Coturnix japonica: one gene and its partner. The protein of the gene in region 2 binds, or shares a complex with, the protein of the main gene of each other region. Links are inferred from orthologs where the notes say so. Each region holds a gene or a part of one and is shown on either strand. Other genes may lie near its edges.

Evidence for each region.
Region 1: TTC25 (region 2) and EFCAB1 share a complex: the UniProt entries of both Homo sapiens proteins name them as parts of the outer dynein arm-docking complex. The link is inferred for Coturnix japonica from reciprocal best matches to the Homo sapiens genes ODAD4 and CLXN.

The regions. Positions count from the first base shown.
Region 1 is NC_029517.1:20,677,979-20,682,317, reverse strand, and holds the start of EFCAB1 (EF-hand calcium-binding domain-containing protein 1), read left to right. Parts: upstream 1-1,470; 5' UTR 1,471-1,959; intron 1,960-2,854; 5' UTR 2,855-4,339. Other genes in the region: protein FAM133B, read left to right, coding at 697-792, 1,387-1,470. UniProt on the Homo sapiens protein: Component of the outer dynein arm-docking complex (ODA-DC) that mediates outer dynein arms (ODA) binding onto the doublet microtubule. Seems to regulate the assembly of both ODAs and their axonemal docking complex onto ciliary microtubules.
Region 2 is NC_029542.1:4,350,405-4,354,810, reverse strand, and holds the start of TTC25 (tetratricopeptide repeat protein 25), read right to left. Parts: upstream 2,874-4,406; 5' UTR 2,779-2,873; coding exon 2,671-2,778; intron 2,576-2,670; coding exon 2,444-2,575; intron 2,212-2,443; coding exon 2,058-2,211; intron 2,050-2,057; exon of another isoform or gene 884-2,049; intron 774-883; coding exon 712-773; intron 305-711; exon of another isoform or gene 1-304. UniProt on the Homo sapiens protein: Component of the outer dynein arm-docking complex (ODA-DC) that mediates outer dynein arms (ODA) binding onto the doublet microtubule. Plays an essential role for the assembly of ODA-DC and for the docking of ODA in ciliary axoneme.

The DNA of each region.
Region 1 (4,339 bases), on a different chromosome or scaffold from region 2:
TAGGAGGGTCGATGTAAGTAATCTCAGCACTCAAAAAGACGATTTATAAGAATTTTTACTGTTCTTTTGACTGAAATAGAATGGAAGAAAGTAGTTTCACTCTTAGCAATACCTTGCTCGGTCCAGAGCAAAGCTTAGTTGAAAAAGTGTAGGGGAGAAAAAAAAGTGGCTCATCAGAACAATCTCTTGCAGCATCTGAATTACAAAAACTAAAACTGTAAAAGAAAAGACTGCTCTTTAAGTATATTGAAACTATTTATATAAAATGAAAGAACGTGTCCCATGCCAGAGGTACAGGTCTGAAGGGAGCATTTTACTTTATCAGCACCATAGCAGCTGTGTTTGTGCGTACTCTGAGACATCTTCATTTACTCTGCAGTCTTTTGCAGTGATGAAGCATTTAAAAATGCTTGCTCCTCTGTGAGCTTTCATTTAAAAGAAGAGACTGTGTTGTACTAATAGATCATTCTTTAGAAGGTGCAGTATCTTGGTAATGGAGCAACACACAGAAAATCATTATATTCTCACTGAAAGCATTTTAACTGTGTGATGATTTGCTGATGAGTAATTAGTTTAATGCGTAAATTATTTAAATATTTCATAACTTAGAAATAATATTTCCATGTAATTTTAAAGCAGAAGTTTCCTAATACCTGGAAGGCTTACTGTTACTTGCAAATATATTGCTTTATGTAGGATGGCAAAAATCATCACAGAAAGAGGAAGAAAGCCGATCGTGGTGATGGGCCTTTATCATCAGAGTCCTTATCAGAAGCGGATCAGACAGAGGAGGTCAGTGTGAAGGCTAAACTTCAGCTGTTATAATGCTTTCAGCTTACTGATTCCCATGAGTAAGCAGCTAAAACTAGCCCAAATTGAATATATTATTGAAATGTTCTGTTCCATACAATTGATTTTAGTGCAACTCCTACCACATACAGGTCATTCTGAATTAATGTTCTTGAAACTTTACAACTTTCCATGGATGCTTTGGGGTTTAATAAAATGAGGCTAAGTGGTGCCTCACAAGAGTTCTCTCTGATCACTGAATACAGACAGGCAGGAGGTTCCAGTTTGCTGTTTTTTTTCCATTAAAATTTCAACCATGTTATTCACTCGGTAGTTTTACTGTTACATCTCTCTTGGCTGCTTGTTCTGCAATGTTTTAATAGCAGAGTGCCTAGAAATCAGACATTTATTGGATTACAGTTATTATAGAATATAACACTGTTATAGTCGGTTTCTTCAGCAACTGCTCAGTCTGCCCTGTCAATGTTCTGCTGTTTCTCATTTTTATACAACAAAAGTTCAAACTTCATATAAAACAGCATTTCCAAAGCTGCTGTCTCATTACATGACATTTATTTATTTATTCATTTATTTTAGGTTCAGGTGAAAAAGAAGAAAAGCAATGAGGAGAAAGAGAAAGCAACAGCAAGTATCCCTTATACTGTAGTGTTAAGACAGTAATATCTTGTACTTGGTTAATTATTTTATAATTTCACAGTAACACAAATGCTTTATAGTTAAAGTCAGATGAGTTGAAATTTGATATTTCTCTCTTTATCTGTTGAAGACACCTTTTTAGCTGCATAATTAAGAGACAGGTTTGTCACTACTTTAACTACATAGATATATATGTATATGAATTGAGATGTATTTAACATCCATTGCATCAAGTCAAAATATGTTTTACACTGTACCAGCCTAACAGAACTACAAATTTCTGTATAAGCTGAGGTAGCAACATGCCATATAGGTATTGAGGCTGTTCCTTTGTAGGAGTATCATGTATAAGTATTCCTTTGTACACCTTCTATACCAGAGCATAAAGAGGGCCTTAGGACACAATCTCTGCAGCATCACAATACTAATAGAATTCTTCCCTCAAACAAAAGAAGTGCTGCTGGCAACCTGTTGCATTTCTCTGCTTTGTGGATACTTCCTCTGATGATAAAGGTGGGACAAAGGTTCAGCAGTGATACTGTAGGACCTCAGATATGTCCCATGTACCTGAGTTAGAGATGTAGTCATTCTGAGCTACTCTGTATGCACTATAAGCAGCACTGTTCATAATTAGGTACCTCAGTTGCTCAAATGAGTTATGGTACCTAAGCACAGGAATTTCAGTACATGTTTTCTGTGGAATTTGAGTTCGTTTGCTTGTCATAAAATTACTAATGACTTATTTTTTATCTTAAAAGAGACAAGTAATGTGTCTATTGTAGAACTAAGATATACCTAAGTCGCTATGTTTATGTTGTTACACCTACTGAAGAATTCCACTTGAAAAAGGATAAGTTTTGATCTTTCAGTTTTTGATTGAACCTGGTGGTGTTAATTAAGTGTATATGTGAATATTTAAAAATGAAACTCTTATCTTTTGTTTTAATTAAGGTGCAAGTGCTGGAGATTTTAGCCTAGTATAGTGCACTGTGAAAATGAGCACCTAATTGAAGTCTGTAAAGATGCGAGTTACTCCCATATATGTCAGATCTCAACGCAGTTTATTATTTTCTTAGAAATCTGTAAAGCACTGAGAAAGCATTAAAAAGATGAAGAAATATGATAGTGATGATGCTGAGGGCTGGGAAGGAGCCAGACCACAATGGAGACGAATTGAAAACTCTTTGTAATAGTGCACATTGTGAACTTTCCTTTTGTGATTTTCCAATAGGCTTTTATAAAACTCTGCTCTGAAGTGCCATAGATTTTTTACAGAAACATCTTCCAAAATGTCTCAGGAGAGCTTTCATTGCCCTGCTCCTGCTGTTATTGAATGGAATTCAGTAGATGGAATTTTGCTCATACTCTAACTTCCTTTTTGCTTTTTTCTTTATTATTTCTTTTTCAGGATAAAGCCAAAAAGAGAAAGAAGCACAAGAAGCACAGTAAAAAGAAGAAAAAGAAAGCTGCTGGCTCAAACTCGGATTTGGAATAGTATTTAAAAAAACAAAAAAAGCAAGACTATCAACAAAAGTGCAATGACTGAAGGAAATTGAAACTGTGAAATGATAACAAACTTTACCAAACTGCATGAGTTTTCCTGTGTTCTAGAAATATTCCTAATCTTTCAGTAGCCAGCCAGATGCAGCTGTGCTGGGAAAGACCGTTGTTATTGCCTGCTGCTTAATACATGAGGTACAACTTTGATTAAAGTCCAGTAAGCAGTGTTAGATGTTTGAAACAACGTTAAGATGGTAGCTTAGTCCAGCTAAGATGTAAAATATTGGGAAGTAAGAGTTAAACTTTTTAGATACTGAAAGTAGTGTTTTAAAGCGTTAGTAATAGCCTTTACTTGTAAATCAGGACAAATAAAATCCCAAATTCATCTTGTAGGTTTATATTATACTTAAAGAGTTACCAGCTGGTGGCTGCGAATGGCATTTATGGAACGGGAAATGAATGACAACGTATAAAATGCTGCCTTTGTAGTAATTGCCCCATTACTGTCTTCATGCTTATGAGAAAGGGAATGCTACCATTTGGCTAACTGAATAGGGTGCCTTTGCCTTGATCCTTGCAAATCTCTGCTATTTTTAATCCACGCAGCATCTCTGATTCTAGAGAGGCCAGAACTATTGTCAGCAGACCTTTTCTGAATAAGCAGTTCTGGGCTTCTGAGCATGTGCTTCTGCATTAAGCAAGAGCAATGACATTTTGCAGTGTAACTGACATTCAAAGCCAGAAGACTTTACCTCTGCTTCTTTGAAATAGCGATAGATCTGTGCTAGGAAATGAGCATATTTCATTTCATTTCATTTTGGTTTAGTCGAACACTTCTTGCAAACTCCGGTAGTTTTTTCTTTTCCCTTCACATTAACTTTTGGATCGCTGTGCATGATTTGTACCTTTATTAAATTAACAAAATGCAGGTAATCATTCATTGTAACCAGTTCTCTGGATTATGTTCCACATGCAGAGTTTTGTGTACGTATTTAGTTACTCTTACAGTTAAGTTCATTGCTGTGTTGAAGTGCACACTTGCTGAAGATATTTAGCATGTAAAAAGCAGGGTTTTGATACCTTAACAGCTTCATATTGAAGCTGATTTTACTCTAAGCAAGTTCAGTGGCAGACCTGTTACATGACGCATCTTGTTAGATTAAGGAGAAATAAACCACCATACTGCCAGAATCTCATTAAATATGCTGTTTAAACAGTTTGTATTTATATTTTTGTACTGGAGGGCTACAGAATGTTGACCTAAATCATAAAGCTGTTTTATTTTAAATTAGTTGCTTTAGGAATTGAAAATAAGCTTTTATAAATTAAATGTGCACGCAAGAAAACACAAGCAATCGTTAGACTTCAGTTTTTACATGAAATTCTCATTGTA
Region 2 (4,406 bases):
ACACTGGAATGATCAGCAAGGCCTGGCTTCCACAACTGCTGACCTCTGTGTAGGTCAAGGTCCTTTAAGTAGAAGCAAGAATCAGTGTCTCACAAAGAGCTTTTAGGCTCCTGTGTGCAAATGATTTTCACTGCAAACTACCCATAATTCCAGCTGAGGGAAAGAAAGGAGCATTCACTGCACTGCCTTCAAAGGGAAACGTGGGGTGGCAGCTCAGAGGAACAAAGTGTTGCTTCAGTGGACACCCCGAAATGAAGCAATTGAGAAAGTGGCCATTATCAGACAAGTGAACGTCAAACAGCAGGTGAGACCAAAGTAAACACTGTGGGTAAGTGTATCCTGCTCTCACCTCGGCGCTGTTACTCATTAGCCTTTGATGGGTGGTGAGCAGTACCCAATAGGAACACTGGTCAGGCTGTGAGAGGACTTTCAGATGGGGTTTTGTTTCCCATCTGTTGCTCTTCCCTGCCCTTCTGCCTTCTCCTGTCTGCTTTGTGTGGCTTAAGCCCCAGCTGCACCAAAGGCAGGTGCACTAAAATCCTCAGACTGGATTCATTTGTTTCACATGCCCAGGATGCGCTTCCCTGAAGCAGCCATATCCCCCCCCCCACCCTGCTGCAGAAACCGCTGATCCTCTGTGCCTGTTCCAGAACATAACAGTGTAATAACAACTTTAATTAGCTTCCAAATCGAGAGCTCTTCACACTGTACCTCCGCCTGCCGGCTTACAAAGCAGAGACCCTCTGTGTTCTTCAGTTTAACTGAGGATGGAGCTGCAAATACAGAGAAAACACTTGTTACTGCTCTAGAAATGCAGTAGAGGAGCTACTAAACATTTAGAACACCTCGTGGTTTTTATGCTGTTTGTTTGTATATGGTCCAGATGCTTGAAGGCATTTAAAGCATTCAGCTCAGCACGTCAAGCATGACAGGTGTTTCCACAGAGAGCTGCGAGGGCGTCTTGGTGTTTGCACTGAGCTGAGAAAGCAGCAGGAACAGAGGAAAGCAACAGATCTGGAAAATTGCTCTATCATCTGCCTTAAAATGCCTGTCACATATGGAGGAGCTGCAGGCTTTCACACAGCTGGGACGTGAAGCCAATCTGCACTGCTGGAGGTGGGCTGCAATTCCAACAGCGATTTCAAGGCAAGGCAGCTGCGTTATCTGTGTGATCGAGGCCTGTGTGGGGCGTGCAGGCCGGGCGTGTTCTGGCTCCATGATGGGACAGGATCCACCTGAGCAGTTTGTGACTGTCCCAGCAGGTTTTGCAGCAGCTTTGCCAGCTGTGCACAGGTTCTTTCACGTGATAAGCCACTCACCCACAGAGCCAGCCCCAGCTGAGTGTGTGTGTGTGCCTGCATTGCCTGCATGTGAGAGCACTGCTAAGAGAAAAAATGAGGGAAAAGTTTTCCATTTGCTTTGAACCCCAGCAGGTCCTTGGCCTGTCCTGTCTCTTGCAGGACTCAGTTCTCTGATTTACGCCAGAAATTATGAAAGCAACGCTCCATTGCAATAGTCAACAGTTTCACTGCTCTTGTGCAATGGAAATTGGAGGAAAATCAGGATCTCAGGGAGGCCGCTCTCAGGTGGGCAGATTTCACTCTAAGCTTTTTAACGCTGGGATAAGGATCTCAAAATGGATTTTGTCACCATCAGGGCTGTAAGGAGGAGTGCTGCTGTGTTCTGCATTATTTATGACGTTTCTATGGTGACTTTAGAAGTGTAAGTGCTGGGGTCATAATTCACTCCTGTAATTATCAGTTATCAGACACTGCAGGTGAACAGGCATCCAGGCAAAAAGAAAAGAAGAAGAAAGAGAGGATGGGACGTGGGCTTTGTGGTGCTTCTTGGTTTCAAATAAGAATGGCTGCAGAGCTCATGAATCCAGAAGCAAAGGAACCCTGCTGTTACTTGGTACTTAGGAAGCACGTTGAGTTCACAGCCATCAGCTGTTATTATGATTATGATTATTGTTATTATTATTATTATTAATAGCAGCTGGTGACAGAGCACATGAACAGGCTCAGCCTGCAGGCACCGTGACGGGAGCTCCTTACTTCCAATGCAGTTGATAATGGCCTCGTGGGATTTCTGGATGCCCAGCCTGAACTTCTGCAGCTCCGGTCGCAGTTCGGAGCCTCGATGATAGAACACCAGAGCGAACTCAAAGTCCCCCATGGTGTACAGCGCCTCGGCCTTTTGGTACAGGCCCTGGAATGACATTTCAAGGGGGAAAATACAACAAAGTGCTTCAGAGCCTCCAACAGTGCTCTGCTCATACCCACAGACAGCAGCGCTGTGCTGCCCCCAGCCCCACAGCCCTGCAGCTCTGCTCTATTTGCTCTATTATTTCCTCTATTTGTTTTATTTGCTCTATTATTTGCCCTATTTGTTCTATTTTGCTCTACTTGCTCTATATTTGCTCTATATTTGCTCTATTTACCTCCGAGAACGCCTTGTCGCCCTGCAGCGCCGCCTCCACGTCCCTCATCGCGCTCTGTATGTCCCCGAGCTTCAGGTGACACCGTGACCGTCCCACCAGGCCGTGCTTGTCCCCGGCTCGAAGCTTCAGCGCCTGCAGGGCCGGGATCGCACAACGGGCACAGACCGGGCTGACGGATGAGGCCCAACCCCCCCATCCTCGCCTCGCCCCCCCCCCCGTGCCCTCACGTTGTTGAAGCAGCTCAGGGCCTTGCCGTACTCGCCCCGCCTATAGAGCAGCCCGGCCTCGGTCATGAAGCCCGGGAAGGTTCCGACGGGCGGCACGTTCTCCGCCATGTTGGCACCGACGCCGTCGTTTGGCAACGGCTGCCGGGCAACGGCGCCACTTCCGGGACCGAGCCAAGCCCCGCCCACAAAGTGACGTCACCGAGGTCCTGGGGGTGGAGGGTCCTGGAAGGGAAAAGGAGCGGGATGGGCCGGGGGGCGGCGTGTGTACCGGTAATATTAGCGTGTACCGGTAATATCAGTGTGTACCGGTAATATCAGTGTGTACCGGGACTATCAGTGCGCACGGTGCTGTGTGTGCACGGGCCTTGCTCCGTGGCTTCATCCCGGCCCTGGATGAGGCCCATGGGATGAACGCGATGAACGTTTGGCGCCGTCCGTTCCTCTCACTGATTCAGTGGCTCCGGTTCCGTCTGTCCCGGCGGTTCCGTCGGTCCCGGTTCGGTTCTGCTCAGTCCGTCCCGTCCCTCAGCCCCGGTTCGATCCACCCGCTGCTCTCAGGTGCCGGTTCCGGTGCCGTGCAGTGACACCGTCCCGCCATGTGCCGGCCGTGCTGCTCTGGGCTCTATGTGTGTGTCTGTGTCTGTGTGTCTGTGTGTCTGTGTGTCGCCCCGTGTCCCCGCTCGGTGCCGGTACCGGGGGGTGGGGGCGGGGCGAGGGGCGGAACTACGACTCCCACAAGGCCGCGCGGGCGCGCCCCACCGGCGGCGACCAATGGGCGTTCGAGCGGCGCTCAGGCAACGCACACGTGACGGCGGCGGCAGCCAATGGGCGGCGGCGGAGCCCGTAGGCCGATGGGCCGGGGAGGCAGCGCCGCGTCCCAGCGAACAAAAGGCGGCGGCGGCGGAACGAGACGGAACAGAACGGAACAGAGCGGGGAGAGTACGGAACGGAACGGAGTGAAACGGGACGGACAGAGCAGGTGGGGGCGGGGATGGGGCGGGGGGGCACGGACCGAGCGGGGCTGAGGGTGCCCGGCCTGGGCGGGATGTCCGCCCGACCATGAGGGGAGCGGGGCCCGGCCGCCACGATGGAGCCCATAGAGAAGATAGAGCCCATGATAGGGCCCATAGAGCTGACAGAGCCCATAGAGCAGATAGAGCCGAGTCCTGCCCGGGGTTGCTGCCCATCTCCCCCGCGATGGGGTAATAAACCCACGCAGAATCTCCCGGTGTTTCAGGTTAAATCGGTTTTTAAAGGCAGAACTCTGCGTATCCCATTTCTGGCACTGGGGTGAACCAGCACATCTGGGGCCACTCCTCAGCTCTCCGTTAACCTGGCTGAAATCGGTTCGTAATCTGCTATTTTCCTTGGCTGCTCTTTAATTTCTGAAGGCTCAAGGTCTGTAGGGATTGCGTTCACCACCTCAGCCAGTGACAGCAGCTTGCATCACTCCCACCCGCTGCCAGGAGTTTCACAACGTGCAGCACTGAGGCTTCTTGACCCGTGGAGTTGGCTGCTGTGGGTTCTCTCCTCTGCAGCCCCTCTGCCACCTGATGAAAGCGTGTTTGCCAGGTGGATGCTGACGTAACTGTTTGTGCTGCTGTGGGCAGGAAATGTTGGCTGATCTTGAGCTGTGTTAATAAATGACCTGGGATGAAGGGAGGACGTTGCTTTACTGCATGGCTTAAAATCCCCAGGAGGAGGGAGAGTGAAATCTTCATGGGGTGGGTGGGATT